4 linked regions of the Anolis sagrei genome follow. The protein of the gene in region 2 purifies or fractionates together with the protein of the main gene of each other region. This does not show direct contact. Links are inferred from orthologs where the notes say so. Each region holds a gene or a part of one and is shown on either strand. Other genes may lie near its edges.

Region 1 (7,367 bases), on a different chromosome or scaffold from region 2:
CCTGGATGATAGGAATTGCAGTTCTCCCCACATTCAGGGAAAACTTCTAGAGAGCACTGGGAGGCAATGATGGAGGACAATGAGGGGTATAGTTCACCCATATGCAAAGTGCACTGTTAACCTCACTGAGAATGGACCTGGACCAAACTTGGCATACATATCCATCATTCCCAACTTTAACAGGTGGGGGGTGTCACCTGCTATGATCGGACTTGTAGTTCACCAACATACTTATGCATTATCTAATGTGTCCAGTCATAAAATTCAAAACCAAACAATGCCTGTTTCTAATGTTTCTCCTTCCTAATGACCTTACCCAGGCATTGCCAGGTACTGAAGTGAATATTTATATAAAATTATTATTATTATTATTATTACTAATTTTACTCTTATATCCTGCCACCATCTCCCCAAAGAGACTTGGGGCGGCTTACATGGGGACCAGGCCCAGTCAACAGAATTAAAACATAGAACAGTAAATTATACTGCATTACAATAAATTAAAACAAAATTGTTCACTTATACAGCATTATTAAAATGCATTGTTCTTTATAGTGAAGTAGCCTAAAACAGTGGGTCCTCCCAAAGTTGTAAAATCTAAAATATGCCTGTATACATACACCTAGGGAAGGAGGAATAACAAAATACAAAGCTATACAACTACAAAACAAATCATCAGATAAATTAAAAACAAAAACAAAACCACCAATATAATACAAAGCAAACTAATAAATAATAATAATAATAATAATAATAATAATAAACTGACCGTATAGGCAGACAGAACTGGGAGGACAAGGAATAGTTCTTCACATCCTAAGAGAAAACTGTCCTTCATATGATTTTACTGTTAACGATTTTATCAGAGGGTTAAAAAAGCACTTTGCAAAAGAAATTCCAAACCTTATCATCAGACAAAAATGTAGTAATATGTGTGTACTATGCAGATCTCAACTTCCTAAAGCTACATTTCAACCCTTAGTCTGTTTAATTTTGTAAGATCTTGGTATTACAATATTAGGTAAAGGCACCTTGTTGATACACTACAGACTGCCTAAAGCTTTAAAATTTAAATGGTATCCAATTCATGATAAAAGCAGTTGAATGGGATTGATGAACTAGAAAGAGTGATGAGAGAATACTTCAGTATATGATTATCGCAGGCAGACTTCTGGAGGTTGAAGAACACTGCTGAAAGTAAGCATTGCAGAAATTGACAAACTGTCTACCAATTAGAGGAAAAAATATAGTACAGTTTTTGAAATATTGGAAGCCCTTGACACTTTTTGGATTTGATTACTAATGGGTTGTTTAATAGAATGAGTGTAACATTAATTCTATTGAGAAGTTGGATGTTCTATAACCACAGAAAAGACCTCATCCCATTAGGAGGGGAGCAGCATATATCCGTGACATTATGTCCGGTTGGATCCACATAGTTATTCCCCGTAGTAACCTACGGATGTGAGAGCTGAACCATAAGGAAGACTGAGCAAAGGAAGATAGATGCTTTTGAACTGTGGTGAAATTCTGAGAGTGACCGTGAGAAGATCCAACCAGTCCATACTTCAGGAAATAAAGCCCAACTGCTCATTGGAGGGAAGGATATTAGAGGCAAAGATGAAGTACTTTGGCCACATCATGAGAAGACAGGAAAGCTGAGAGAAGACAATGATGCTTGGGAAAATGGAAGGAAAAAGAAAGAGGGGCTGACCAAGGGCAATATGGTATCCTTGAAGTGGCTGGCTTGACTCTGAAGGAGCTGGGAGTGATGACGGCTGACAGGGAGCTCTGGCGTGGGCTGGTCCATGAGGTCACGAAGAGTCAGATGCGACTGAATGAATAAACAACAACAAAGCTTTAGAAATTAAATCGTACTGTTTCTCAGATCCCATCACACATTGTTCCTTCTTGTCTTTTCTTCCGAAATAATTCATTTTCAGATTTATCACACAAGCAAAACCAGTCTTGTCCTATGTGCATTCTACAAAGAAACTGCTACAACAATATAGTTGTAGTTTAAGTCCAAAACACCTGGAGGGCCCAAGTTTGCCCATGACTTATATAGATTGTAGTAGTTTATTTTGTAGCATGCTTGCTTGTATGTTTGAAATATGTCTTAGGGCCCTTTCACACAGCCATATAACCCAGATTATCAAGGCAGAAAGTCTCACAATATCTGCTTTGAACTGGATTATCTTGAGTCAACATAATCCATTGTGGGGTTTTATTCAGCTGTGTGGAAGAGGCCTTAGTATACACAAATCTTAATACAAATTTCTATATCAATATTTAAAAAAACTAGCTGTCCCCTGCCACGTGGTGCTGTGGTCCACATGGGGGTTCTGTGTGGAAGGTTTGGCCCAATTCTGTCATGGGTGAGGTTCAGAATGCTCTGTGATTGTAGGTGAACTATAAATCCCAGCAACTACAACTCCCAAATGTTAAGATTCTATTTTCTCCAAACTCCAAACTCCACCAGTGTTCACTTTTGGGCATATTGAGTATTCGTGTAGAGTTTGGTCCAGATCCATCATTGTTTGAGTCCAGTGATCTCTGGATAATAATAATAATAATAACAACAACACTTTATTTGTACCCCGCTACCATCTCCCCAAGGGACTCGGTGCGGCTTACATGAGGCTGAGCCCAAATACAACAATACACGCAATTGTAACAACAATACAAACAATTAAAATGAAAAAAACATGGACAATAAGATATGCAACATTAACAATAAGACAACACACAATTAAAACTGTGGGAAGGACCAAATATAAAATTAAAATTGAAAATAATGCTGGAGCATGGGCGAAAAGGTGGTAGTGGCATTTGTGGAAAATATACAAGCAGACCTAAAATGTAAAGTGCTTCGGAGGACAAAGTGCTATGGGATCATTATTCTGGGAAGACACACTGGAACAACCATGTCTTCAAGCTCCTTCTAAAGACTGCCAGAGTTGGGGCCTGCCTGATGTCTCTAGGGAGTGAGTTCCAGAGTCGAGGGGCCACCACCGAAAAGGCCCTCTCTCTCGTCCCCACCAATCGCGCCTGCAATGCTGGTGGGATCGAGAGCAGGGCCTCTCCAGATGATCGAAGAGATCGTGTGGGTTCGTATACAGAGATGCGGTCACGCAGGTAAGCGGGCCCCAAACTGTTCAGGGCTTTGTAGGTAAGAACCTGCACTTGAATTGGGTCTGGAAAATGAATGGCAGCCAGTGGAGCTCCTTGAACAGGAGGGTTGACCACTCCCTGTAAGGAGCCCCAGTTAACAACCTGGCTGCCGCCCGTTGGACCATCTGAAATTTCCGAGCCGTTTTCAAGGGCAGCCCCACATAGAGTGCATTGCAGTAATCCAGTCTAGAGGTGACTAAGGTGTGGACCACCTTGGCCAGATCCGCCTTCCCGAGGTACGGTCGCAATTAGCGCACGAGTCTTAATTGTGCAAAGGCCCTCCCGGCCACCACTGATGACTGAGCCTCAAGTGTAAGTGATGAGTCCAGGAGGACCCCCAAACTGCAGACCTGTGACTACAGGGGGAGTCCAGCACAGGTTGCCACCCTATACCCCAGTCTGGTTTACGATCGACCAGGGGACCTGTCTTGTCAGGATTAATCTTCAGCTTGTTCGTCCTCATCCAGACAGCCACAGCGGTCAGGTGAACTACAACTCCAAAACCAAAGGACATTGCCCACTAAACCCTTCCAGTATTTTCTGTTGGTCATGGGAGTTCTGTGTGGCAAGATTGGTTCAATTCCATCGTTGGTGGGGTTCAGAATGCTCTTTGATTGTAGGTGAACTATAAATCCCAGCAACTGCAACTCCCAAATGACAAAATCAATTTTTTTGAGTGAAGGACATACATTGGGTTGTTAGGTGTCTTGTGTCCAAATTTGGTGTCAACTCGTCCAGTGGTTTTTGAGTTCTGTTAATCCCACAAACGAACATTACATTTTTATTTATATAGACTAGTGCAGTGGTTCTCAACCTGGGGTCCCCAGATGTTTTTGGCCTACAACTCCCAGAAATCCCAGCCAGTTTACCAGTTGTTAGGATTTCTGGGAGTTGAAGGCCAAAAACATCTGGGGACCCCAGGTTGAGAACCACTGGACTAGTGGGAGAACCCAACAGAATCCGCCATAGAGGCGCCTTCCCTTCTCCTACAGAGCGCGGCCATTTTTGACTCTTCCCCCTCCTCTCTGCTAAAGCCGCTCCTAAACCGGGCTGTGCCCAACCGCGCATGCGCGTCCCGCAGAGGGCGGCGCAGTCCTCCAAGCCGCCTGGAGTCGCTCTCTCTCCCTCCCGCAGACCCTGCGCGAGGCCTCGCCTCCTCCTCCTCCTCCTCTTGCTGCCCCCTCCCCTCCCTCCCTCCCTCCCTCCCTCGCGCCCATCCATGGGGTTGCCGAAGTGGGAGGGGGTCGTGGAGGGCGTTTCCCCGGTCGCCGCGCGGCGTCACTCCCAGCATGCAGCGCGGCCCGCTCCTGCCGCCGCCGCCGCGCCTGTCACCGCCGCCTCCTCCTCCTCTGCTGCCGTCACTTTCGCCGCCGCCGCCGGCGCCGCGGGGCTGGGAGACATGGCGGAGGGAGGCGCGGCGGACCTGGAGACCCAGCGCTCGGACATCACGGCGCTGCTCAAGACGGCCCTCCGCAAAGGCGACACCTGGTGAGGCGAAGGGGAGAGAGAGGGAGAGAGAGAGAGGAGGGGAGGAAGGGCGGGGGTTGGAGGGCCCTCCTGAGTGACAGGTGCGCGCGACTCCTCCTGCTGCTGCTGCTGCCTTTTCCTGGTTGCTGAGGGAAGCACTCCTCCCTTCCTCTAAGGGAGGAAAAGGGCTTACCTTGCTGCCAGGTGGGAGGCTTTGGGGCTCCCCATTCCCCGCCCCGCCCCCATCCTCCCGCTCTCAGGAGGGCCTGGCTCGCCCCATTGCTTCAAACGGGCCCCGAAGCAGGGTGGCGTGAGGAAATGCGTCTGTTGTGCTGGTGTGTTTTCTAGGCAAGGCTTCTCAGCCACAGCCTCCCCTCCCACCAGTAGCTTCCACGCTGAGGCCTGTGTTGCCGGAAAGGGCCCTCTCACACTCTCTAGGGTGGAGTATCCCTCACCCAAGGATGGAGAACGAATGCAGTTCGGCACCCATGTAACTGCCATGGCTCAAGGCTCAGCTGTCATTAAGGCTAGGGTTATGTCAAGGCAGAAAATCTCACAGTATCTGATTTGGACTAATGGCCCTTCCACACAGCCCTATCTCCCAGAATATCAAGGCAGGAAATCCCACATTATCTGAGTGGGGACTCAAATATCCCAGTTCTAAGCAGATACTGTAGAATTTTCTGCCTTGATATTCTGGGATATGGAGCTGTATGGAAGGGCCCTCAGAATATCCAGGCAGAAAATCCCACAATATCTGGTTTGAACTAGGGGCCCTTCCACACAGCTCTATGTCCCAAAATATCAAGGCAGGAAATCCCACATTATCTGAGTATGGACTCAGATATCTCAGTTCAAAGCAGATATATCCGCAGTTTGGGAGTCCTCTTGGATTCATCACTTACGCTTGAGGCCCAGGCTTCAGCGGTGTCCGGGAGGGCTTTTGCACAATTGAGACTTGTGCGCCAACTGCGACCATACCTTGTAAAAGCTGATCTGGCCAGGGTGGTCCATGCCTTGGTCACCTCTAGATTGGACTACTGTAATGCGCTCTTCGTGGGGCTGCCCTTGAAAACAGCTCAGACATTTCAGCTAGTCCAACAGGCGGCGGCCAGGATGTTAACTGGTGCTCCTTACAGAGAGAGGTCAACCCTCCTGTTTAAGGAGCGCCATTGGCTGCCGTTCATTTTCCGGTCCCAATTCAAGGTGCAGGTGCTCACCTACAAAGTCCTAAACGGTTTGGGACCTGCCTACCTGCGTGACCGCATCTCCGTTTATGAACCCACACGTTCTCTTCGTTCATCTGGAGAGGCCCTGCTCGCGATCCCACCTGCGTCGCAGGCGCGTCTGGTGGGGACGAAGGACAGTGCCTTCTCTGTGGTGGCCCCCCAACTTTGGAACACCCTCCCCAAGGACATCAGACAAGCCCCTACACTGGCAGTCTTTAGGAAGAGTTTGAAGACCTGGCTGTTCCGGTGTGCCTTTCCAGAATAGGAAACTCCAGCAATATGTCCCAGAAGCACTTTATCAGAGATTTAAGATTGTCTGCATATTGCACTTACCCTAAAATCCTACATTTCACCTGTCATACTCAGCACTTTTTAATATGTACCCATTACATTCGGCCCGGCCCTAGTTTTTTGTGTTATGGTGTTTTGTTTTTATTGTTTACTGTTATTGCTTAATGTTTTGATTTGCTTTATAATGTTATGTGTATTGTTATGCTGTTGTTTTTATTGAGGCCTTGGCCTTTGTAAGCCGCATTGAGTCCTTCGGGAGATGTTAGCAGGGTACAAATAAAGTTAATAATAATCATAATAACAATAATAATAATAATAATAATAAGGGATTTTCCTCCTTGATATTCTGGGATATAACGCTGTATGGAAGGGCCCTCAGAGTATCCAGGCAGAAAACTCCACAATATCTGCTTAGAACAGAGTCCACCCTGCCATTTGTTACATCCCAAATAGATTACTGCAACGCACTCTACATGGGGTTGCCGCTGAAGACTACCCGGAATCTCCCAACTAGTCCAACGCTCAGCAGCCAGGTTGCTCGCGAGAGCACACAACCCCCCTGTTACACCAGCTCCACTGGCTGGCGATTAGCTTCCGAGCACAATTCAAAGTGCTGGTTTTAACCTATAAAACTTTACACGGCCCAGTTTACCTCTCTGAATATATCTTCCCCTATAAACCATCAAGGACTTTAAGATCTTCCATAGAGGCCCTGCTCTCCATCCCACCACTTTCGCAGTTGTGCTTGGTGGGGACAAGAGACAGGACCTTCTCTGTGGTGGCCCCCTGGCTATGGAACTCTCTCCCCAATGAGGTTAGGTCTGCCCCCTCCCTCCTGACCTTCAGGAAGAAACTGAAATCCTGGCTTTGGAATCAGGCATTCGCAGATTGATGGATTGACTGGTAAAGACTAAGAGTTATTGGACCATAATGTTTGGATTGAGTTGGATGATGTTTTTAACTCAGCGAACTGTCTTTTATATGTATTTTATAACTTATTTATTATGTACGTTGTTTTTAAAATGTTATTTATTGTTTAGCATTGAATTTTTGCTGTTGTTAGCCGGTTTGAGTCCCTCCACAGAGGTAGAGAAGAACGGGATATAAACGTTCTAAATAAATAAAAAATAATAAAATATAATCCAGTTCAAAGCAGAAAATGTGGGAATGCGTGCCTTGATATTCCGGGTTATATGGCTGTGTGGA
Region 2 (7,885 bases):
GGGGTTTTGCTTTGTCACACCCTGGTGCCGTTAGTAAGACAATTAGTTTAACAGTTCCCTGGCTCCAGCTGTCTGCCAAATTCTGAATTGCATTGCAAATTAACCTGAGTTTATCACTCACCATTAACTCTTCAAAGGCACTTGTGGAACAAGGTTTCCACCAACATCCCCTTGGGAAGTGCAAGTCTGGAAATTCAGGTTTGGAGGCTTCTATCATTTCTTGTGGACAGGATATCAGGGACGAGAAAACGTCTGGCTCCATATTAACCACCATAATTTTTTCCAATTTAATAATAAATCAGAATGCCCCTACAAGTACATGGAGCTATCTGAGTGATTTTCTTTCAAATTTCTGAATCGCAATGAACCAACACGTTTTGATTCGCCATACTTTAGGAAGCTTTTAGCCCGAATGCATGTGGAAACAGGTGCCTCTGAACTGAGCAGGATGTCTCTATCAGATAAAGAGAGGAGCAAGTAACTTTGCTGTCCCATTATCTAGGTCATCAAACCATCCTACTGATGAAAAAAGAATGGGCTGCGAAGTTCAGTGCATTCCAATATTGGAATGAGGAAGTGGGTCAGAAGAATTATAGACACTTCGAAGGCTTGGGGCGAATGCCCAAAATACACACACAGACACACACCTTTTTCCAGAGAGTTGGACCCAGACAGCTTAGACAGGGAATCAACTAACCCATATCTCCTGGAAGAATTTATTGGCTTGCCAGATCTGTCCAGACGAGTTCCTTGTTTGTCTTGGTAGATCTCAGACAGATTTAAAGTAAATATCTGCTGTCTCAGAGAAGCGAAACAGGGACTTGAAGACAGGGCTGTCCCAAATTTTGTTTGTTGTCTGAATTGAAGGAAAATATCCTTCAAAATGCAGGAAAAACGACTCCACCTGAGCATTAGAAAGAACTTCCTGATGGTAAGAGTTGTTCAGCAGTGGAACATGCAGCCCCAGAGTGTGGTGGAAGCTCCATCTCTAGAGGCTTTTAAAGGAAAGGTTGGATGGCCATCTGATGGGAGTGTTTTCATTCCATGGTAGGGGGTTGGAGTGAATAATATTTGTGATTTCTCCCAACTCTATGATTCTATCCCCACACCCATTCCACATATATAGGACAGATTGATGATTTCAAGCCCCTTTTCTGGTGCTGTTATAATACAGCGCTGCATCTACGTACACTATAGAACTGATCGTTTATTTATTTATTTAAAACATTTATATTCCGTCCTTCTCACTCCAAAGGGGACTCATGGCAGTGCACAACATACAAATGGCAAACATTCAGTGCCAGGGCATGAATTCATTACATATGCGTAAGTAGTAAAGGTAAAGGTTTTCCCCTGACATTAAGTCCAGTCGTGTCCAACTCTAGGGGTTGGTACTCATCTCCATTTCTAAGCCTAAGAGCCGGCATTGTCTGTAGACACCTCCAAGGTCATGTGGCCAGCATGACTGCATGGAGCACCATTACCTTCCTGCCAGATCTACTCACATTTGCATGTTTTGGAACTGCTAGGTTGGCAGAAGCTGGGACTCACAGCAGAAGCTCATGTCACTCCCCGGATTTGAACATGCAACCTTTCGGTCAACAACTTTAGCAGCTGAGTGGTTTAACCCATAGCGCCACCAGGGGCTCCATAATTATATGCATACATACATATTAAAAAACATTTGTCTCAACATTAAAATACACTGCTTAAAACCGTCTTGATCATCTGCATCTAATTTAATTGGTTTGGTAAGGTTTCCTATCACTGCTTTATTGCACTGTCCTGAAAGCTTGATCTATATAGTTCTATAACTAACCTTCAAAGGCGCGACTGGTAGGGATGAGAGACAGGGCTTTCTCAGTGGTGGCTCCTCGACTATGAAACTCCCTGGCTAGTGGGATTAGATTGGTCCCTTATCACCTGTCATTTTGCAAACATGTGAAAACTTGGCTTTGGGAGGAAGCATTTGGCCCAGCATAATTATCTGTATAATACAGTTGGAATTGGCTTTGGATTGATGAATATGATTAAATGATTATCTGGCGTTGGATCTCTGCACAATAGTTGTCTAATGTTTTCATATGTTGTTTTAATGTTGTTTAAATTGTTTCTAACTGTTGTTGTTGTTTGGGCATGGAATAATGGTCACAGGTTCGAATCCGGGGAGCGGCATGAGCTCCCGCTGTAGGTCAAGAGGTACAACTCTGACAGGAAGGTAATGGCGCTCCATGCAATCATGACCTTGGAGGTGTCAATGGAAAACACTGGCTCTTTGGCTTAGAAATGGAGATGAGCACCAACCCCCAGAGTCAGACACAACTGGACTTATGTCAGGGGAAAACCGACCTTTACCTTAGGCATTTTCTAGGTTCTGTAGTGTGACAGGCATCCTCAGAAGTTGTGAGATCTATTGGAAAGGATGCCTGCCACAGATGCAGGCAAAACGTCAGGAGAGAATGCTTCTAGAACATGGCCATACAGCCCAAAAAACCTACAACAACCTAAAGAGGAGGGTATTCAGAAAAAATGCCCCTAGCACAGTGTTTCTCAACCTGGGTGGGGGTCGTGAGGGGGTGTCAAAGGGGTTGCCAGACACAATATTTCTGTTGGTCGTGGGGGTTCTGTGTAGGAAGTTTGGCCCAATTCTATCATTGGTGGGGTTCAGAAAGCTCTTTGATTGTAGGTGAACTATATATCCCAGCAGCTACAACTCCCAATGTTAAGTCTATTTTCCCAAAAATCTACCAGTGTTCACATTTGGCCATAATGAGTATTTGGGCCAAGTTTGGTCGAGATCCATCATTGTTTGAGTCCACAGTGCTCTCTGGATGTTGGTGAACTACAACTTCAAAACTCAAGGTCAATGCCCACCAAACCCTTCTGGTATTTTCTGTTGGTCATGGGAGTTTTGTGTGCCAAGTGTGGTTCAATTCTATCGTTGGTGAAATTCAGAATGCTCTTTGATTGTAGGTGAACTATATATCCCAGCAGCTACAACTCCCAATGTCAAGTCTATTTCCCCCAAAATCCACCAGTGTTCACATTTAGGCATATTGAGTATTCGTGCCAAGATTGGTCGAAATCCATCATTGTTTGAGTCCACAGTGCTCTCTCGATGTTGGTGAACTACAACTCCAAAACTCAATGTCAATGCCCACCAAACCTTTCTGGTATTTTCTGTTGGTCATGGGAGCTTTGTATGCCAAGTGTGGTTCAATTTTATCGTTGGTGAAGTTCAGAATGCTCTTAGATTGTAGGTGAACTATATATCCCAGCAGCTACAACTCCCAAATGTCAAGTTTATTTCCCCCAAAATCCACTAGTGTTCACATTTGGGCATAATGAGTATCTGTGCCAAGTTTGGTTGAGATCCATCACTGTTTGAGTCCACAGTGCTCTCTGGATGTTGGTGAAGTACAACTCCAAAACTCAAGGTCAATGCCCACCAAACCCTTCTGGTATTTTCTGTTGGTCATGGGAATTTTGTGTGCCAAGTTTGGCTGAATTCCATCATTGGTGAAGTTCAGAATGCTCTTGGATTGTAGGTGAACTATAAATCCCAGCAACTACAACTCCCAAATGACAAAACCAATCCCTCCCAATCCAACCAGTATTCAAATTTGGGCATAATGAGGTGTTTGTGTCAAATTTGGTCCAGTGAATGAAAATACATCCTGCATATCAGATTTTTTTACATTACAATTCAGAACAGTAGCAAAATTGCAGTTATGAAGTAGCAATGAGAATAATTTTCTGGTTGGGGGTCACCACAACATGAGGAACTGCATTAAGGGGTCACTGCATGAGAAAGGTTGAGAGTCCTGAGTCTGGTGAGCTTTGAAGAGCATCACCAACCCACTTCCTCGGATGTCCTGAACCTTGCTTCTATGATTGTTGATGTTCTTTCCCTCGAGATTTCCCTTTCAACCCTGCGAGCTTCCTTCCTTCCTTCCCTTCCCTTGGACTTCAGGAATTAAAAAGGAGGAGAGAAAAAAATAGCTTCCAGCCACCCGATGCCGCCTTTGCGCAATACAATCGCTGGGTGTTTTTTTCCCCCTCCTTCCCTTCTTTGCTTCTTTTTTTTTTTAAATCAAAAAGCGACAGGGTGTCTAGACGCCCACGTGATAAGAGAGGACGGGGAGAGGCGGCGAGGAGGAGGAGGAGGAGAGGATTGGAGAGGAGGAGGAGGAGGAGGAAGAGAGTGGCCCACTGCGCAGTCGGAAAGCTACCCAAAGCCAGGCGGGAGAAGGAGGAGGGGAAAGAGAGGAGGAAGAGGAAGAGAGGAGGGAGAAGAGGGGACTGGGTTGTGGGGAGGGGGCAGAAGGGACCCCAGCCCACATTAGCCCCCCTTCCCCTGTCGCCTTGGCACGAAAAAACCAGAGCCAACGCAGAGCATATCGAGCGCGCACAATCCGTGCGTAAAAGGGACTGGCGCACAAGCCGGGAGGGGGGGCACCCCTTTCCCGCCTCTCCCCCTCTTTGTAAGAACCCAAATCCAACATTGTATGGCGACCACTCCATTCTGAAAAGGCTCTTCTTTCTATCCGTGCCCGCATAAGCCTCCCAAGCGAGGTCGGCTCGAAAAAAGGAAGGGAGGAAAAGGCTGGAGAGGGAAGCGAGGCCAGGGCGCACGGCGCGCCTCCTTCTGTTGGCTTCCACTCCTTGCGCTTGAAGAAGGAGGTAGAAAGGGAGCGGAAAAAGGGCAGGAGGGAGGGAAAGGAGAGAGAGAGAGGAAGCCCGGGCCGAAGGAGAGCTCTGGGTCTCCCCCTTCTCCTCCCCCCTCCCTCCCTGTTGTGCGCGTATGTGTGTGTGTGTCTGTGCGTCGTCTCTGTGTGTGTCGACAGAGGCGCTGCTCCGGCTGGAAGGAAGGAGGGCGCAGACAGCCGTCAGAGGAAGGAGAAGGAGGCGCGGAGGGAACCGCATTGGAGAGAGAGAGAGACGCAGACACACACACACAACACACACACACAGACAGAGACAGACAGGAGGCTTGGCTGGCGACACTCTGCCCCCGCCTGTCATTCCTCGGTCCTTCCCTCCTCGCCGACTTCTTGGGCACCGCGGCGTTTCCTCTCTCTCTCTCTTCTTCGTCTTTCCTTTCCCCCTTTTCCTTTCCTTTCCTTTCCTCCCCTTCCCCCTCCAAAAAAGAGGAGATTGTGGGGGAGAACTTGGCACCGAGGAAACCTCGCTCTTGTGCCGAGGAAAGGAAGGAAGGAAGGCAAGCCTTTCCAAGAAGAAGGGGGCTGCTGGCTTTGCACGGAAAGGCGATGCTCCAGCTTTGGAGGAGGAGGAGGAGAAGCCCCCCAGTGTAGAAAAGCCCCCCTCCTCCTCTCCCTCCTCACCAAAGCCAGGCACGGATTTCTTTTTGGTCTGGATGAGAAGAAACCTCGCGATTGTGGCAGTGGATTGGTCTTAAAGACTCGCTACAAATATATATCTATTTTGCCTCGCCCTCCTTTGAGCAGGACCACATCTAGAGATTCCTTGGGAAGGATTGTGCATTGATTGAGGATCCTCCGGAGCAGCAGCGTGTGCCTTGCTGGAGAGAGGGAGACTTTCTTCTCCTCCTTTCCTGTGTTTCTTTCGCAGCCCCTTCTTTTCCTTCAGGGGCGGGGGAGGAGGAGGAGGAGGAGGAGGAGGGAACTAAGCCACGCAACTCCTCCATCCTCACTCACTTCAGAAGACGACTTGGCTCTAGGCTTGGGAGAAGAAGAGGAAGGAGAAGGAGAAGCACCCTTGGAAATACACCTTTCTTTTCTTCCTTTTCCTTCCATCCATCCGGATTGTGTTTCTTTGGAGGAGAAGCGAGCGAGGGCATGGTGTCTATCTCTTGGCTCTGACTCGGTGTGTTGTGTTGCTCTTTGAGGAGGGAAGGGAAGGCGAAAGGAAGGCCTCCCCACGAACTCCCTCGCGCTCTCTTTCTCTCCTTCCGTGGATGTAAAGGCGGCGGATTCCTTTCCGAGGCCGAGGCGGAGAGGGGCCTTTCGTGGGTCTCCCTCCCTTGTTTTTCCCCTCCCTCCTTCCCCCGTTTCTCGGCTCTCCCTCCGCGGCCCCATCATCATTTCAGGCTGCTGGCCCTGGCTGCCTGGACTCGGGCCCCGGATCCTTCATGAGTTGCGGACGGCATGCCCGCTGCTTAGCCGGGGAGCGCCCTTCTTCTCGTCCCGCATGTTCAGGACCAAACGCTCGGTGCTCGTTCGGAGACTCTGGCGGAGCCGTGCCCCGGGAGCAGCGGCGGCGGCGGCCTCAGCAGCGGCGGGAGCTGGGGGAACCGGCCACGGAGGAGGAGGAACCGGCGGAGGCAGCTCCAGCGGCGGAGGAGGCGACGAGGAAGGCGGCGGGGAGCTGGGCGAGGGCGCGCTGGATCCCCGGGCGCATGGCGGCGGCGGAGGAGGAGGGAGCCGGGTTTGCTGCCTGGGCAAAGGCGGCGGCAAGGCCCCCAAGGGCCCCCACGCGGGCGGCTCGGAGGCGGAGCTGAAGGCGCTGACCCACGCCGTGCTCAAGCGGCTGAAGGAGAAGCAGCTGGAGGCGCTGCTCCAGGCCGTGGAGTCCCGCGGCGCCACCCGCACCGCCTGCCTCCTCCTGCCCGGCAAGGGCGACGCCAAGCTGGGGCCCCACTGGTACTCCCTCCCGCTCCTCCTCGGAAAGGTCTTCCGATGGCCAGACCTCCGGCCCGGCGCCGAGCTCAAGCGCCTCCCCGCCTGCGAGTCCTACGGGAAGGCGCCCGGGCCCGAGCCCCTCTGCTGCAACCCCTTCCACCTCAGCAGGCTCTGCGAACTCGGTAGGTAGCCGGGATTGGAGGGGGGCTTGGGCAGGGGGGCGCCACTTTCGCAACCGCTTCCCCCACTCTTCCCCTCCATCTCTCTCCACTTCTTCCCCTCTTTCTTCCAGTATTTCTTTCTCAGTTTCTTCCTTCATTTCTTTATCAATTTCTTCCTCCATTGGAAGGGTATTGGAGGGGGAAAGGGGGGAGGGGGCGCCCCTTCCTCCACTGCTTCCCCCACCCTTCCTCTACTTCTTCCCCTGCTTCCCTTTCAATTTTCCCCTCTATTATCCTCTTCATTTGTTCCTTCATTTCTTTATCAATTTCCTCCATTGGAAGGGAATTGGAGGGGGAAAGGGGGGTAGGGGGCGCCCCTTCCTCCACTGTTTCCTCCACTGTTTCCTCCACTCTTCTTCTACTTCTTCCCTTGCTTCTTTCTCCATTTTTCTCTCTATTATCCTCTCCATTTCTTCCTTCATTTCTTTATCCACTTCTTTCCCCATTGGAAGGGGATCGGAGGGGGGATTGTGGAAGGGAGTGCCCCTTCCTCAACTGCTTCCCCCACTCTTCCCCTGTTTCTTCCTCTGCTTATTTCTCCATTTCTTCCTTTATTTCTCTCTCCATATTTTTCTCCATTTCTTTATCCACTTCTTCCCCCATTGGAAGGGGATTGGAGGGAGAATTGGGGTAGGGGGCGCCCCTTCCTCAACTGCTTCCTCCACTCTTCCCCTACTTCTTCCCCTGCTTCTTTTTCCATTTCTTCCCCTATTTCTCTCTCCATTTCTTCTTCCCCCATATCTTCCTTCATTTCTTTATCCTTCCCCCATTGCAGGGGGATTGGAGTGGGAAAGAGGAGGGGGCGCCCCTTTCCCCACTACTTCCCTTACTCTTCCCTGCTTTGTCCCGTTTTTTCTTCCATTTCTTCCACTGTTTTTTTCTTAATTTCTTCCTCAATTTCTTTCTCCATCTTCTCCATTTCTTCCTTGTTTCTTTTTCTATTTCTTTCTCCATTTCTTTAACTATTTCTTTTTCCATTTCTCCCCTTTTCTTTCCCTCATTTCTTTCTCCATTTCTTCCCTCATTTCTTCATTTTTCTCAACCCCCCCCCCCTATTTTTTT
Region 3 (6,947 bases), about 150 Mb from region 2:
TTAACACTATCCCTGGCTCATGCACTGATGCAACCAAGTTCTGTAGATGTAGACAAATGTCTGCACAACCACAACAGAAAGGAAGAGAACAAATTTGTACGTTTGTGTGAATGATCAGAACCACTTTCACTCCCTGAAGTGTTCTTATTTTCCAGCCATTCTTTATCTACAGTCCGTACATCTCTTGGCAAGGGTCCAGCAGCTGGACATGCTCTCCTTGCTTTAAGCTTTGGAGGCCTGGTGTAACTCTGTCCAAGCGCATGAGCACACGCAAGCAGGCAGGCAGACCAGGAATTCCATAAGTGAATCATGAGCTGAGCCTTCAGAAAGAATGTAAGATGGGGGATTTTCTTCAAGTCTGGAATGCAACTGCCCCAGCAGCACATATGCTCCCCAGGGGACCCATAGCACAGCACTTGTGTGCCATGGCAGAAAGGAGAAACAGATCTTAGTCTCTCTATGTTTATTGTACAACCAGGCATATTTTAACTAGGATCTCACATGGATTTTACCCCTCTAGGGAGCCACCAGCACCAGGATTTGGAAGGTGGTTCTCAAGAGAGAGGCTTACACCACTCTGCTGAGCTGCATTTAGAAAGATCCTCTGCCTGGTTTAAAAATGCTGGGGTCTGAAAATAGCTGTTCAGACTTAGGGGTATCCAGTGTCATTGTGTCTGAGTTTCATATAGAGCCAGCAATGCAGGAAAGCTTTAAAAGAGTATTTAAATTCACATGCATGAGAAGAGAGGGAAATCTTCAATCTCCTGCATCTGACTTCACTGGAAATGTAAGCTTCCCCAAGCTTAGGGTTTAACAGCAAAGAAATATATCTACACCAAGGCCAGGGGTGCATTTACATTGCAGAATTAATCCAGATTGACATCACTTTGACTGCCGTGACTCAATGCTATGGAATCATGGGGGTTGTACAGAGCTGGTGCCTCTTTTCTAGCTTTCACTTCCAAAGATTGCTGTTGTATCCTCAAACTACGACTCCCATGATTCCATACCAATGAGTGGTGTCAAACTGCATTAATTACACAGCGTAGATGCACCCTAATCCTTCATGTAGACAAACTGTTTTCAAGCTGTGTGTTGACTGGAGTGCCCGGGTGTGTCACATGATTGAATTTTCATTGGTTGATTACGTTGTGTTGTGGAAATTACACGTCTGAAAGTGTGCCTCCAACATGAAATATCTGGAAAGCTCTGGTGTGGATGAGGCAATTAAAATGAATCACTATCACTACTACTACCAGGTTATGAAGTGTCGCAAACTGTCTCCTAGTTTTAAGTAATGTTTACATTGCATTTTTGTACCTGCTATGTACATGATGCAAGTCTTATCACCAGTCCTCCAGTCTGCTCCATATCTGACTCAATGTGCAAGCGCATATCCAAAAGAGTATCATTGAGGCAGCAGAATTCATCCTACAATAAATATGAGAATAGCATAATGAATGTTACAATTTGGGTATAAAACAAGTTCACATTACTGGATTTCCCTACACACAGGTTTTCTTTACACATTCATAATCTTCAGCTCTTGACTACTAACACCAAATTACAACTTACATTTGGAGCTTAGAAAAATTACTTTTTGGCCTAATACTACGAGAATCCCCACAGGCCCTTGCCATGCTGCTTGAGAGATTCTGGGAATTAGTCCAAAATTAAGTGAAACGGCAAGCCTCTTTTGCGAATAGGCCATCAGAGTAACAAGAAACTTTCAGGTCACCTGTTGTCACACACAAAAAAGGTATAACTCCTTTTAATAAAAGCAATTGAAGCATAGTTGTCAGTTCAAAGTAATAACTGAAATGATGGGGCCAAACGTTAATGAACACGTGTTAAAAAGCACTTTGATAATAGTTACAAGTCAGGTCTTGTAACTGTGAATGTTCATAATGTGATTCTGGAAGTAAATGCTTATGAGCAGGACCAAATAGAACTAGCTCTTCTTTTCAACATTTTCATGTTATTTTTGTCAGTCAAAGTCTGTGTTTTCAAACTGAGTAGGGTTGGGTTTAGTGCTGTGCAGTGGTTTGTAATGGCTTTTTAAGAGAGTGTATACAGTTTTAAAGCTATATTTAGCAGTTTTCTCTCATACAGACATATATACATACATAGTTACGTATAGATATAGATGTTGATATTTAGTCACTTTGTTGTTTGCTCTACAAATCCATGGCAACACTACCACAGGATTTTCTTGGTAAGAGCTGTCCGAACACTCAAACACTTAGGGATTATACCAGGCATGGGCAAACTTCAGCCCTCCAGATGTTTTGGACTTCAACTCCCACTATTCCTAACACCCTGAGGTCCTTTCCTTTTCCCTTTCCCACTTAAGTGGCTGAGGGGTAAAGGAAAGGGCTAAAGGGTGTTAGGAATGGGTAAGCTGAAGTTTACCCATGCCTAGGTTATACTTTTAGCTTAGCTGTAGCATTGTTTTTAATTTACATTGTTTTAAATAACTTGCGTCCCATTCTTGAGGGGCATGTGCAATAGCAATGAAATAAGAAAAAGATTACCCACATTTTCTACACTCAGCCAAGGAAGACTACACTGGCCAACACACATTTTGGAGCCACAAAAGTTAGGGCTGTTTCTAGGTGGATTTGACACGGAAATCCCACAAATAGCACCAGTTTCCCCCCTATGGGCTCTACTTTTTGAGATACAGAACATATGCCATCTACCAGCATTCATCTGCTTGCCTTTAGAAAATTGTGTCAACCATATCTAAGGGCCCTTCCACACAGCTGAATAAAATCCCAGATTATCTGTCTTGAACTGGAATATATAGAGCCCCCAGTGTGCAATGGGCTAAACCCTTGTGCTGCCGGGGCTGATGACCGACAGGTCAGCAGTTCAAATCTGGGGAGAGCAGGTTGAGCTCCCTCTGTTAGCTCCAACTCCCCATGTGGGGACACGAGAGAACCCTCCCACAAGGTTGATAAAACATCAAACATCCAGTTGTCCCCTAGGCAATGTCCTTGCAGACAGCCAATTCCCTTACATCAGAAGCAACTTTCAAGTCGCTCCTGACACGAAAGAAAAAACTGAAATATAGGGCAGTGTGGACTCAGATAACCCAGTTGAAAGCAGATCTGTGGAAGCACCCCTAAACTAGTCTGATGACTCAAGGGCCTGTCCAGACAGCCCTATATCCCAGAATATCAAGGCAGAAAATCCTACAAGATCTGCTTTGCGCTGAGTTATCTGAGTCTACACTCAGATCATAGAATTGGAAGAGACCTCACGGGCCATCCAGCCAAGAAGCAGGAAAATCAAATTCAAAGATAATGTGGGATTTTCCGCCTTGATATTCTGGCATATAGGGCTGTGTGGAAGGGACCTAAGAAACCAGAGCTGATGGGGTCCATCCAATGCAATTTTTTGAATCAGCACCCCAAATAACCCCAGGAACAGGCCTAAAAACTAAGACTCTTGAGGGCTCTTCCACACAGCCCTATATCCCAGGACAGCAAGGCAGAAAATCCCACATTATCTGAGTGTAGACTCAGACAACCCAGTTCAAAGCAGATAATGTGGGGTTTTCTGCCTTGATATTCTGGGATATAGGGTTGTGTGGAAGGACCCTCAGTCCACACGCAGATAATGTGGGGCTTTCTGCCTTGCTATCCTGGGATACAGGGCTGTGTGGAAGGGCCCCAAGAAAGTCCCTTCCTGGAGAACACAGAAGGCAGGAAACCGCCTTTTGTTTTTTTTTTTTTTTTTTTTTTTTTTTTTGGTATCAGGGTCCACTTCTTTGATCTCCTGATCTAAGGCACGCGCGTCTTTTTTTGTCCGCCGACATCCATGCCTAGCGGACACCGGCTGCCTGTGTTCCCCTTTAAGCGCCAAGCGCCGCCTCCCCTTTAAAGCCCGGCAGGCTCTTCCCACTCCTCCTCCCCCCTCCCCTCCAGTTCTCGCTGGCTTGTCTTGTGTGCCTGATTTGTCTCGCGCAGCAGCGGTCTCGGCCGTGCGTCGCCTCAGCTGCTGCTGGAGCCGCTGTTGTCGGAGCGAGCGAGCGAGGAAGGGGAGGTTGCCGCGAGGCCGCCGTTGCCATGGCGGGGGGCCCGGCTCGCGCCAACGCCGCCGCCACTCCTGCTGCTCCTCCCGCCCCGCGCCCTTTCTTCCCTACCTGCCTCGGGCTGGCCGTGCTGGTGCTGGTGCTGCTGGGGGGCCAGCGGGGGGCCCAAGGTGAGCGCGAGCGGAGGGAGGGGGGAGGGAGGGAGCGGGAGGGGGGAAAGAAACAGAGCCTTCGCCAACATGGCGGCTGCGATATTGGGGAGCCTTCCTCACAGGGTAGTGGAGAAAAAGGAGGAGGAGGAGAAGGAGGCCAAGATTATTGGGGGAAGGGTGGGGGGAAGAGGAAGCAAGTCCCCCCCCCCCATTTCCCCGTCCCCCATCTATCCCTCCCCAGGGGAGGCCCATGCCATCCTTCAGCCCTTCCTCGAAGCTCCTGTTGTGTGGCTCCTTCCTCAGCAGCAGCCATGGCTGGAATGAGGCGGCGCGCCTTCCTTCTGAGGTGCGGCGTCCTGGGAAGGTATGGCGGACGTGCCTTGGTCGGGTGTGTTTGCCTGCCTGCCTGCCTCTGGGGGACTGGGGAGCAGGAAGGGGGCTCGCCCCCTATTGGGGTGGCTCAGTGGCTAGGGCTTAGGCCCCATCGGGGAAGGAGAGAGCATCACCTTAGCGTTTGTTTATGTAGTCATTTATTCGCCTCCTGTTGGGGTGGCTCATTGGCTGGGGCTTAGGCGCCATCGAAGAAGGTGATGTTTATTCGGCCATTTATTTATAGAGATGGTTCGCCATTGAGGGGTGTCAATGCTAGGGTTCAGAAACCATCCAGGAAGATGAGAGGGACATCTGATCTTTATTCAGTCATTTATTGGTGTGTGTTTTTGCAGACGAGGGGAGGGGTCCTTTTGTGCCCATGCGTTGGTGTGTTTCTGTGTGTGTGTGTGTGAGAGAGGGGAGAGGCCTTTGAAGGCCTGCCAGTTCCTTTTCTCTCTGTATTGTATCACAGAACTGACTCTGAGAGACCGATGTCTTCAAAAGCACGTTTAAATGGATGTTACATATTTTGTCAACAAGATGTACAGTTTGAGCATCTCTTGCCCTAAATTCCAAAATGGTCCACATGGATGGCTGAAATAGACAAATCAAATCAAAATCTTATATTTACAGTCCACGACCAGTGTAGAATCATAAAGTTGGAAGAGAACTCATGGGCCATCCAGTCCAACCCCCTGCCAAGAAGCAGGAAAATTGCATTCAAAGCATTCCACCTTACAGTCATTCATCCACATCAGTACATTGTTTACATTAGGTTAGGACAGTGGTTCTCAACCTGGGGTCCCCAGATGTTTATGGCCTTCAATTCCCAGAAATCCCAGCCAGTTTGTCAGCTGTTAGGATTTCTGGGAGTTGAAGGCAAAAAACATCTGGGGACCCCAGGTTGAGAACCACTGGGTTAGGATATAAATTTAAATTTAACACCATTTAAAACCCTACTCTGATTGTAGGTTTCAAAAAGATAACCTAGACCTGGCATGGGCAAACTTTGCCCTCCAGGTGTTCTGGACTTCAACTCCTACAATTCTAGGTTTTAGACTTCAACTCCCACAATTCCTAACAGCCTACTGGCTGTTAGGAATTGTGGGAGTTGAAGTCTAAAACACCTGGAGGGCCAAAATTTGCCCATGCCTGACCTAGACCTTAAAACTATATCATGTTCAAAACATTTTGTCCTGTTCTATAGTAGTTACCTTAAAATCATTCATCCATGTGAATGCTTACATTAGGTTATGATATAAATTTAAATTTATCACTATTTAAAAGCTATTTACAAAAATGCTACTCTCACTATAGGTTTCGAAAAGAAAACCTAGACTTTAAAACTATATCATGTTAAAAACATTTTGTCCTGTACTATAATAATGACACTTTTGCTTTCTGGTGGTTCAGTAATGCAATCTTTGTTTAATTCACAAAGTTATTTAAAATCTGGTATACAGTGGATAAAGTATATGTGAAACAGCAATAAATGGCGTTTTAAGGCTTGGGGCCCATCTTTAAGATATCTTATTTTGTGGGTATATGCAGATAGAAATATTTCAAAGTAATAATAAAAATCAAAACATTTTCAAATACAGGAGATAACGTTCAACACAAATTTCTCCTCCGAAAAGGAAATCATATGTTAACCTTTGAAAGTAATCATACATTCTAAGTGAGGTTTGGGTTCACCTTAAATAGCCTGGTTTTTTATTGTTTGGTTTCACTTGTAAAGCACTGTCAGTCTGATGACTCTTAATTCCCCCTTGCTGTCTCAACAAAGACATCATCAAAGAAGGAGCCAGTCACAAACCAGTTCCTTATGTGCAGACACATTTGTTAATTTATTTTCAAAGAAGGTAAGAAGCCTTGCTCTTGAGAACATCTTGTACATTGACAGAGCTGATGCTGATGCAGGGCAGTTTATTCATATGGAATAGTCTCTTGATGATGTTTCTTATGAAGTCACTTAAAGATCTATAGGGGAATAATAAATTATCGTAATTTTACCATGAATTCTCAATTCCATATTTACAAACCAGCACCTGTCAAATTTACCTCAAATGATTTTTTATCATGTGAAAAATACATTTTACGCTTCCCTCATTATGTACCTTCTTGGGCCCTTCCACATAGCCATATAACCCAGAATATCAAGTCGGAAAATCTCACAATATCTGCTTTGAACTGGGATATCTGAGTCCACACTGCCATATATTCCAGCTTGAAGCAGATTATTGGGATTTTATTCAGCTGTGTGGAAGGGGTCCTTGTTAATATGGACATTCAGATGCAGATTTCCTGAAAATTCAAAACCATGGAAGAACTGGGTTTTGGGACGGAGTTCCTCCCTGGAAAAAATATATTGGGGCATTTTGATG
Region 4 (7,224 bases), on a different chromosome or scaffold from region 2:
TCCCCCCAAAATCCTTAAAAGTTCATAAAGAGTTGTGGAATTTCATAAAGGGTTCACTGGGGTTAGGCAGAGGGCGCCTGAGAGTTCCAAAGTTCACCAAAAGTTGATTAAAATTTTAAAAAGTTGCAAAAGTTCATAAAGGTTGGGAGAAAGTTCATAGGGAGCCTTGGAAAGTTCATAAGAGTCCACGGGGAGCACATTGGGGTTACTGTGAGTGCTGATGGTCAAGATCCATTCATTTGAAGAAAGGAAAACTATAAATCCAATTTTGTCCAATGGCCAGAATGCCCCGTCAGAGGTTCAGGATTCCCAAGGGGTGACCACGGCAGGTTCCCCGGGGTTGGCAGGCTTCTGGACACACACAAGATGGAGGCACAAATGTCGCTGCCGCATGGAGCCATGGACCAAAGTCAACTGGTCCCCACATGAGGTTTTGAGATAAAAATGATTTTTCTCGGGGCGCAGGGGTCCATAGTGCAAAAAGCGAGATGGCATTTAGTCTTAGAATTAATCTAGGAAAAAGATGGCACCGGTCTGGAGATGGTCCGTTGACCTGCAGATACGGGGGCCAAATTGATTTCCATATCCACGGTTCAGAGGAACACAGTTTCGGCCTCTCCGGGACGCTGTAAGAGCATCCTTGGCGAGCCAGCAGTGATCTGAAGCTCAGAAAAGGAAAGGTTCATGTTAGAACGGGTTAGAGCAGTGTTTCTCAACCTGGGGGTCGGGACCCCTGAGGGGGTCACGAAGGGGTGTCAGAGGGGTCGCCAAAGACCATCAGAAAACACAGTATTTTCTGTTGGTCATGGGGGCTCTGTGTGGGAAGTTTGGCCCAATTCTATCATTGGTGGGATTCAGAAGGCTCCTTGATTGTAGGTGAACTATAAATTCCAGTATCTACAACTCCCAAATGTCAAAGTCTATTTTCCCCAAACCCCATCAGTGTTCACATTAGGGCATATTGAGTGTCCGTACCAAGTTTGGTCCAGATCCATCATTGTTTGAGCCCATAGTGCTCTCTGGACGTAGGCGAACTACAACTCCCATACTCAAGGTCAATGCCACCAAGCCCTTCCAGTATTTTCTGTTGATCATGGGAATTTTCTGTGCCAACTTTGGTTCAATTCCATTGTTGGTGGGGTTCAGAATCCTCTTTGTTTACATGTTAACTATAAATCCCAGCAACTACAACTCCCAATGACAAAATAAATCCCCCTGCCAAACCCACCAGTATTCAAATTCGGGTATACCAGATATTTGTGCCAAATTTGTTCCTGTGAATGAAAATATATCCTGCAGATTATTATTTACATGGCGATTCATAATGTTAGGGTTATGGTTGGGGGTCACCACAACTGTATTAAGGGGTCGCGGCATTAGGAAGGTTGAGAACCACTGGGTTAGAGGCAGTAAAGGGATACAACATATGACTACAGAGAGTGAAATGTTACAAATAAATACTTCTTTATTGGGGGATAGTTACAATGTTAGGGAAGGGGAAGGAAAGAAAATGGAGAGAAATAGTCTTTAGTTGAATGCTGCTGTGGCCACAGTCTCTTTGTTGCTGGCTCATCCAGATGTTCAGGAACTCTGCTGCACTTTCAGATCAGCTTGAAAGCTGGGGCTTGAGAGCTCGATCTCACATTTCCATTTAGGGGAGATGTAGTTCACCTACATCCCGGAGAGCACTGTGAACCCAAACCACTATGGATCTGGACCAACTTAACACAATACTCAATATGCCCAAATTTGAACAATGGTTTAGACTACTGTAACACTCTCTACGTGGGGTTGCCTTTGAATACAGCTCGGAAGCTCCAACTAGTCCAACGTTCGGCAGCCATGATACTAACAGGAGCGGAGCGCAGGGAGCATACCACTCCTCTGCTGCACCAGCTCCACTGGCTGCCGATCTGCTACCAGGCTCAATTCAATGCTGGCGTTGGCCTTTAAAGCCCTAAACGGTTCTGGCCCAAGCTACCTATCCGAACGTATCTCTGCCTATCAGCCCGCCAGGACCCTAAGATCTTCTGGGGAGGCCCTGCTCTCTATCCCGCCTGCTTCACAGGTGCGGCTGGCGGGGACGAGAGACAGGGCCTTTTCTGTGGTGGCCCCTCGGCTGTGGAACGCCCTTCCCATGGAGGTAAGATCAGCCCCCTCGCTAATGGTGTTCCGAAGAAGATTAAAAACCTGGATGTTTGAACAGGCATTTGGTTAATCAGTGCAATGAATGTGACGATTACAGGAATGGAAATATGGACGACGAATTTGGATCACAACTCTAGTTATGAGATGCATTGTGTTGTTACTGTTGTGTAATATTGTATATTGTGCTCTTGTGGTTTTAAATTGTATATCGTTGATTGATTTTATCCTTGTTGTAAACCGCGTTGAGTCGCCGGTTAGGCTGAGAAACTGCGGTATACAAGTAAAGTAAAGTAAATAAATAAATAAATAAATAAATGGTGGAGTTTAGGGAAAATAGACCTTGACATTTGGGAGTTATAGTGCTTGGATTGATAATTCACCTACAACCAGAGCATTCTGAACTCCACCAATTATGATATTGAGCCAAATTTGGCACACAGAACTCCCATGACCAACAGAAAACACTTGTCCAACTTGTTTGGTGGGCATTAACACTTGTTTGGTGGGCATTAACCTTGGGTTTTGGAGTTGTAGTTTCCACCTCTGCTTGAAGACCACAAGAGAAGGAGATTCCATCATACTTCGAGACAGAAGTCCATTCCACTGTGGGACAGTTCTTGCCATCAGGAAGTTCTTCCTAATGTTTAGGTGGAATGGTCATTTGTGTAAATGTTGAACATTGATGGAGCAAGCACGCTCCCCTGAAGCAGGCCGTTCTTCTGTTTCCGCCATCTGCTTCTCTGGCCCTGAACTCAACAAAAAAGCTCCTGTTTTGTAGCAGGTTTCCTATGAAGCAGGTGAGGTGGTAGTCCTTTGTGATTGTTGTTCATTCGTTCAGTCGTCTCCGACTCTTTGTGACCTCATGGACCAGCCCACGCCAGAGCTCCCTGTCGGCCGTCACCACCCCCAGCTCCTTCAAGGTCAGTCCAGTCACTTCAAGGATGCCATCCATCCATCTTGCCCTTGGTCGGCCCCTCTTCTTTTTACCTTCCACTTTCCCCAGCATAATTGTCTTGTCTAGGCTTTGCTTTCTTCTCATGATGTGGCAAAAGTCCTTCAACTTTGTCTCTAGTATCTTTCCCTCCAATGAGCAGTCGGGCTTTATTTCCTGGAGGATGCACTGGTTGGATCTTCTCGCAGTCCAAGGCACTCTCAGAACTTTCCTCCAACACCACAGTTCAAAAGCATCGATCTTCCTTCGCTCAGCCTTCCCTAAGGTCCAGCTCTCACATCCGTAGGTGACTACAGGGAATACCATGGCTTTGACTAGGCAATGGATCTTTGTTGCCAGTCTGATGTCTCTACTCTTTACTATTTTATCGAGACTGGACATTGCTCTCCTCCCAAGAAGGAAGCGTCTTCTGATTTCCTGGCCACGGTCTGCATCTGCAGTCATCTTTGCGCCTAGAAATACAAAGTCTGTCACGGCCTCCACGTTTTCTCCCTCTATTTCCCAGTTGTCAATCATTCTTGTTGCCATAATCTTGGTTTTTTTGATGTTTAGCTGCAACCCGGCTTTTGCGCTTTCTTCTTTCACCTTGATTAGAAGGCTCCTCAGCTCCTCCTCGCTTTCGGCCATCAGAGTGGTGTCATCTGCATATCTGAGGTTGTTAATGTTTCTTCCAGCAATTTTCACCCCAGCTTTGCATTCATCCAGCCCCGCACATCCTCGAATGATGTGTTCTGCATACAAGTTAAAAAGGTTGGGTGAGAGGATGCAGCCTTGCCGTACGCCTTTCCCAATCTTGAACCAGTCTGTTGTTCCGTGGTCAGTCCTGACTGTTGCTTCTTGGTCCTTGTACAGATTCCTCAGGAGAGAGACAAGGTGGCTTGGGATGCCCATCCCACCGAGAACTTGCCACAATTTATTATGATCCACACAGTCAAAGGCTTTAGAGTAGTCAATTCTAAAGCCTTTGACTGTGTGGATGACCCTGCCATGACTCTCACCCAAAAGCGTCGCACCAGAACCAGACGTGACGTTCAGTGCTTTTGAACCTCTTTACTCCCTGAGGGGGCGGGGCTTAGGAGAGGCGGTGGCGGCGCTGCTTGGCGGCTTTGCCGTAAAGCAATCCCACTGCCGAGTGTCGCGCTGCTGCGTCCGCCGAGCAGAGCGACAGAGGCGGTGAGGAAGAGAAGGAGGAGGAGGAGGAGAGCGGCGCCTGAGGGAAAGCCAGGCCGCGAAGGGGGAAGGAAGGAAGGAAGGCAGGAAGGCTCAGGCCTAAGCCTAGCGGGAGGCCCCACCGCGCACCCTCCGGTGAGTAGGCCCGAGGAGGGCCCCTGGCCTCGGGCATAACTGCAAACGGAGGCCGTGGCTTCGGGGGGAGACTAGGCCCGGCCCGGCCCGGGAGGAGAAAGACACGCAGATCTGCTTGGAGAGAAGGGGGCCTTGTTATATTGTATAGGCCCCTTTCACACAGCTCTCTCTCTCAGAATACAAAGACAGAAAATCCCACATTATCTGAGTGTGGACTCAACTTAGTTCAAAGCAGATATTGTGGCATTTTCTACCTTGATATTCTGGGATATATCTATATGGAAGGGCCCATAGATATAGATACATATGGAGGGAGATTGTGGCTCGGAATATATATATATGTATCACATTATATTATAACACACACACACATATAATGCCATATATATATGTATGTATATAGCTGTGTGGAAGGGCCCATAGATATAGATACATATGGAGGGAGATTGTGGCTCGGAATATATATATATGTATCACATTATATTATAACACACACACACACATATAATGCCATATATATATGTATGTATATAGCTGTGTGGAAGGGCCCATAGATATAGATACATATGGAGGGAGATTGTGGCTCGGAATATATATATATGTATCACATTATATTATAACACACACACACATATAATGCCATATATATATGTATGTATATAGCTGTGTGGAAGGGCCCATAGATATAGCTACATATGGAGGGAGATTGTGGCTCGGAATATATATATATATTTATATATGTATCACGTTATATTATATCACACACACACACACATATAATGCCATATATATATATATATATGTATGTATCACATTATATAGCTGTCCCCTGCCACACATTACTGTGGCCCACATGGGGGTTCTGTGTGGGAGGTTTGGCCCAATTCCGTCGTTGGTGGGGTTCAGAATGCTCTGTGATTGTAGGTGAACTGTAAATCCCAGCAACTACAACTCCCAAATGACAAAATCAATTTTTTTGAGTGAAGGACATATATTGGGTTGTTAGGTGTCTTGTGCCCAAATTTGGTGTCAATTCGTCCAGTGGTTTTTGAGTCCTGTTAATCCCACAAATGAACATTATATATATATATATATACACACACACACACACACATATATACTAGCCGTCCCCTGCCACGCGTTGTTGTGGCCCATTCTGGTGGTTATGGGCTTTCTGTGTGGGAGGTTTGGTCCAATTCTATCATTGGTGGGGTTCAGAATGCTCTGTGATTGTAGGTGAAATATAAATCCCAGCAACTACAACTCCCAAATGTCAAGATTCTATTTTCCCCAAACTCCACCGGTGTTCACATTTGGGCATATTGAGTCTTCGTGTAGAGTTTGGTCCAGATCCATCATTGTTTGAGTCCACAGTGATCTCTGGATGTAGGTGAACTACAACTCCAAAACCAAAGGACAGTGCCCACCAAACCCTTCCAGTATTTTCTGTTGGTCATGGGAGAACTGTGTGCCAAGTTTGGTTCAATTCCGTCATTGGTGGGGTTCAGAATGCTCTTTGATTGTAGGTGAACTATAAATCCCAGCAACTACAACTCCCAAATGACAAAATATTTTTTTTTAGTGGAGGGCATATATTGGGTTGTTAGGTGTCTTGTGTCCAAAGTTGGTGTCAATTTGTCCAGTAGTTTTTGAGTTCTGTTAATCCCACAAACGAACATTACACACACACACATATATATACATACATACATACACACACACACACATATATATATATATACTATCCGTCCCCTGCCATGCGTTGCTGTGTCCCATTCTGGTGGTCATGGGGAGGTGTGTGGGAGGTTTGGCCCAATTTCTGTGTGGGAGGTTTGGCCCAATTCTGTTATTGGTGGGGTTCAGAATGCTCTGTGATTGTAGGTGAACTATAAATCCCAGGAACTACAACTCCCAAATGTCAAGATTCTATTTTCTCCAAACTCCACCAGTGTTCACATTTCGGCTTATTGAGTATTTGTGTAGAGTTTGGTCCAGATCCATCATTGTTTGAGTCCACAGTTCTCTCTGGAAGTAGGTGAACTACAACTCCAAAACCAAAGGACACTGCCCACCAAACCCTTCCAGTATTTTCTGTTGGTCTTGAGAGAACTCTGTGCCAAGTTTGGTTCAATTCCATCGTTGGTGGGGTTCAGAATGCTCTTTGATTGTAGGTCAACTATAAATCCCAGGAACTCCCAAATGACAAGATCAATTTTTTTTAAGTGACGGACATACATGGGATTGTTAGGTGTCTGGTGACCAAATTTGGTATCAATTTGTCCAGTGGTTTTTGAGTTCTGTTAATCCCACAAACGAACACTACATTTTTATTTATATAGATTCCAGGCTTTTATATCCCGTCATATCTCAATCTCCGCAGAGGGACTCGGGATGACTCCGTTCATCCCGAGTTGTTGTTCATTCGTTCAGTCGCCTCCGACTCTTCGTGACCTCATGGACCAGCCCACGCCAGAGCTCCCTGTTGGTCGTCACCACCCCCAATATATATATAGATATATATATACATATCACAAAATATAATAGTATATACATATATATATGGAGCCCCAGTGGTGCAGTGGGTTAAACTGCTGAGTTGCTGAACTTGCTGACCAAAAGGTCGCCGGTATATTTTATTCTCTCTCTCTCTCTCTCTCTCCCCCTCCTCCCCTCTCTCTATAAAACATTATATTATATCTATCTATCTATAGATATAGATCTGGAGGGAGATTGTGACTCAAAGATATATCTAGATCTGCACACACAATTCAATATATTACATAAAACAAGGGTCCACAAACTTTTTAAACAGAGGGCCA

The links.
Region 1: the proteins of SMAD7 (region 2) and USP15 purify together in Homo sapiens (affinity purification with western blotting; 3 studies listed by BioGRID). This does not show direct contact. The link is inferred for Anolis sagrei from reciprocal best matches to the Homo sapiens genes SMAD7 and USP15.
Region 3: the proteins of SMAD7 (region 2) and ACVR1B purify together in Homo sapiens (affinity purification with western blotting; 3 studies listed by BioGRID and IntAct, with this or other methods). This does not show direct contact. The link is inferred for Anolis sagrei from reciprocal best matches to the Homo sapiens genes SMAD7 and ACVR1B.
Region 4: the proteins of SMAD7 (region 2) and RNF111 purify together in Homo sapiens (affinity purification with western blotting; 3 studies listed by BioGRID). This does not show direct contact. The link is inferred for Anolis sagrei from reciprocal best matches to the Homo sapiens genes SMAD7 and RNF111.

What each region holds. Positions count from the first base shown.
Region 1 is NC_090025.1:140,457,555-140,464,921, forward strand, and holds the start of USP15 (ubiquitin carboxyl-terminal hydrolase 15), read left to right. Parts: upstream 1-4,366; 5' UTR 4,367-4,393; coding exon 4,394-4,662; intron 4,663-7,367. UniProt on the Homo sapiens protein: Hydrolase that removes conjugated ubiquitin from target proteins and regulates various pathways such as the TGF-beta receptor signaling, NF-kappa-B and RNF41/NRDP1-PRKN pathways.
Region 2 is NC_090022.1:288,279,997-288,287,881, forward strand, and holds the start of SMAD7 (mothers against decapentaplegic homolog 7), read left to right. Parts: upstream 1-4,864; 5' UTR 4,865-6,171; coding exon 6,172-6,784; intron 6,785-7,885. UniProt on the Homo sapiens protein: Antagonist of signaling by TGF-beta (transforming growth factor) type 1 receptor superfamily members; has been shown to inhibit TGF-beta (Transforming growth factor) and activin signaling by associating with their receptors thus preventing SMAD2 access.
Region 3 is NC_090022.1:139,321,802-139,328,748, reverse strand, and holds the start of ACVR1B (activin receptor type-1B), read left to right. Parts: upstream 1-3,928; 5' UTR 3,929-4,073; coding exon 4,074-4,209; intron 4,210-6,947. UniProt on the Homo sapiens protein: Transmembrane serine/threonine kinase activin type-1 receptor forming an activin receptor complex with activin receptor type-2 (ACVR2A or ACVR2B).
Region 4 is NC_090029.1:12,186,988-12,194,211, reverse strand, and holds the start of RNF111 (E3 ubiquitin-protein ligase Arkadia), read left to right. Parts: upstream 1-4,219; 5' UTR 4,220-4,405; intron 4,406-7,224. UniProt on the Homo sapiens protein: E3 ubiquitin-protein ligase. Required for mesoderm patterning during embryonic development. Acts as an enhancer of the transcriptional responses of the SMAD2/SMAD3 effectors, which are activated downstream of BMP.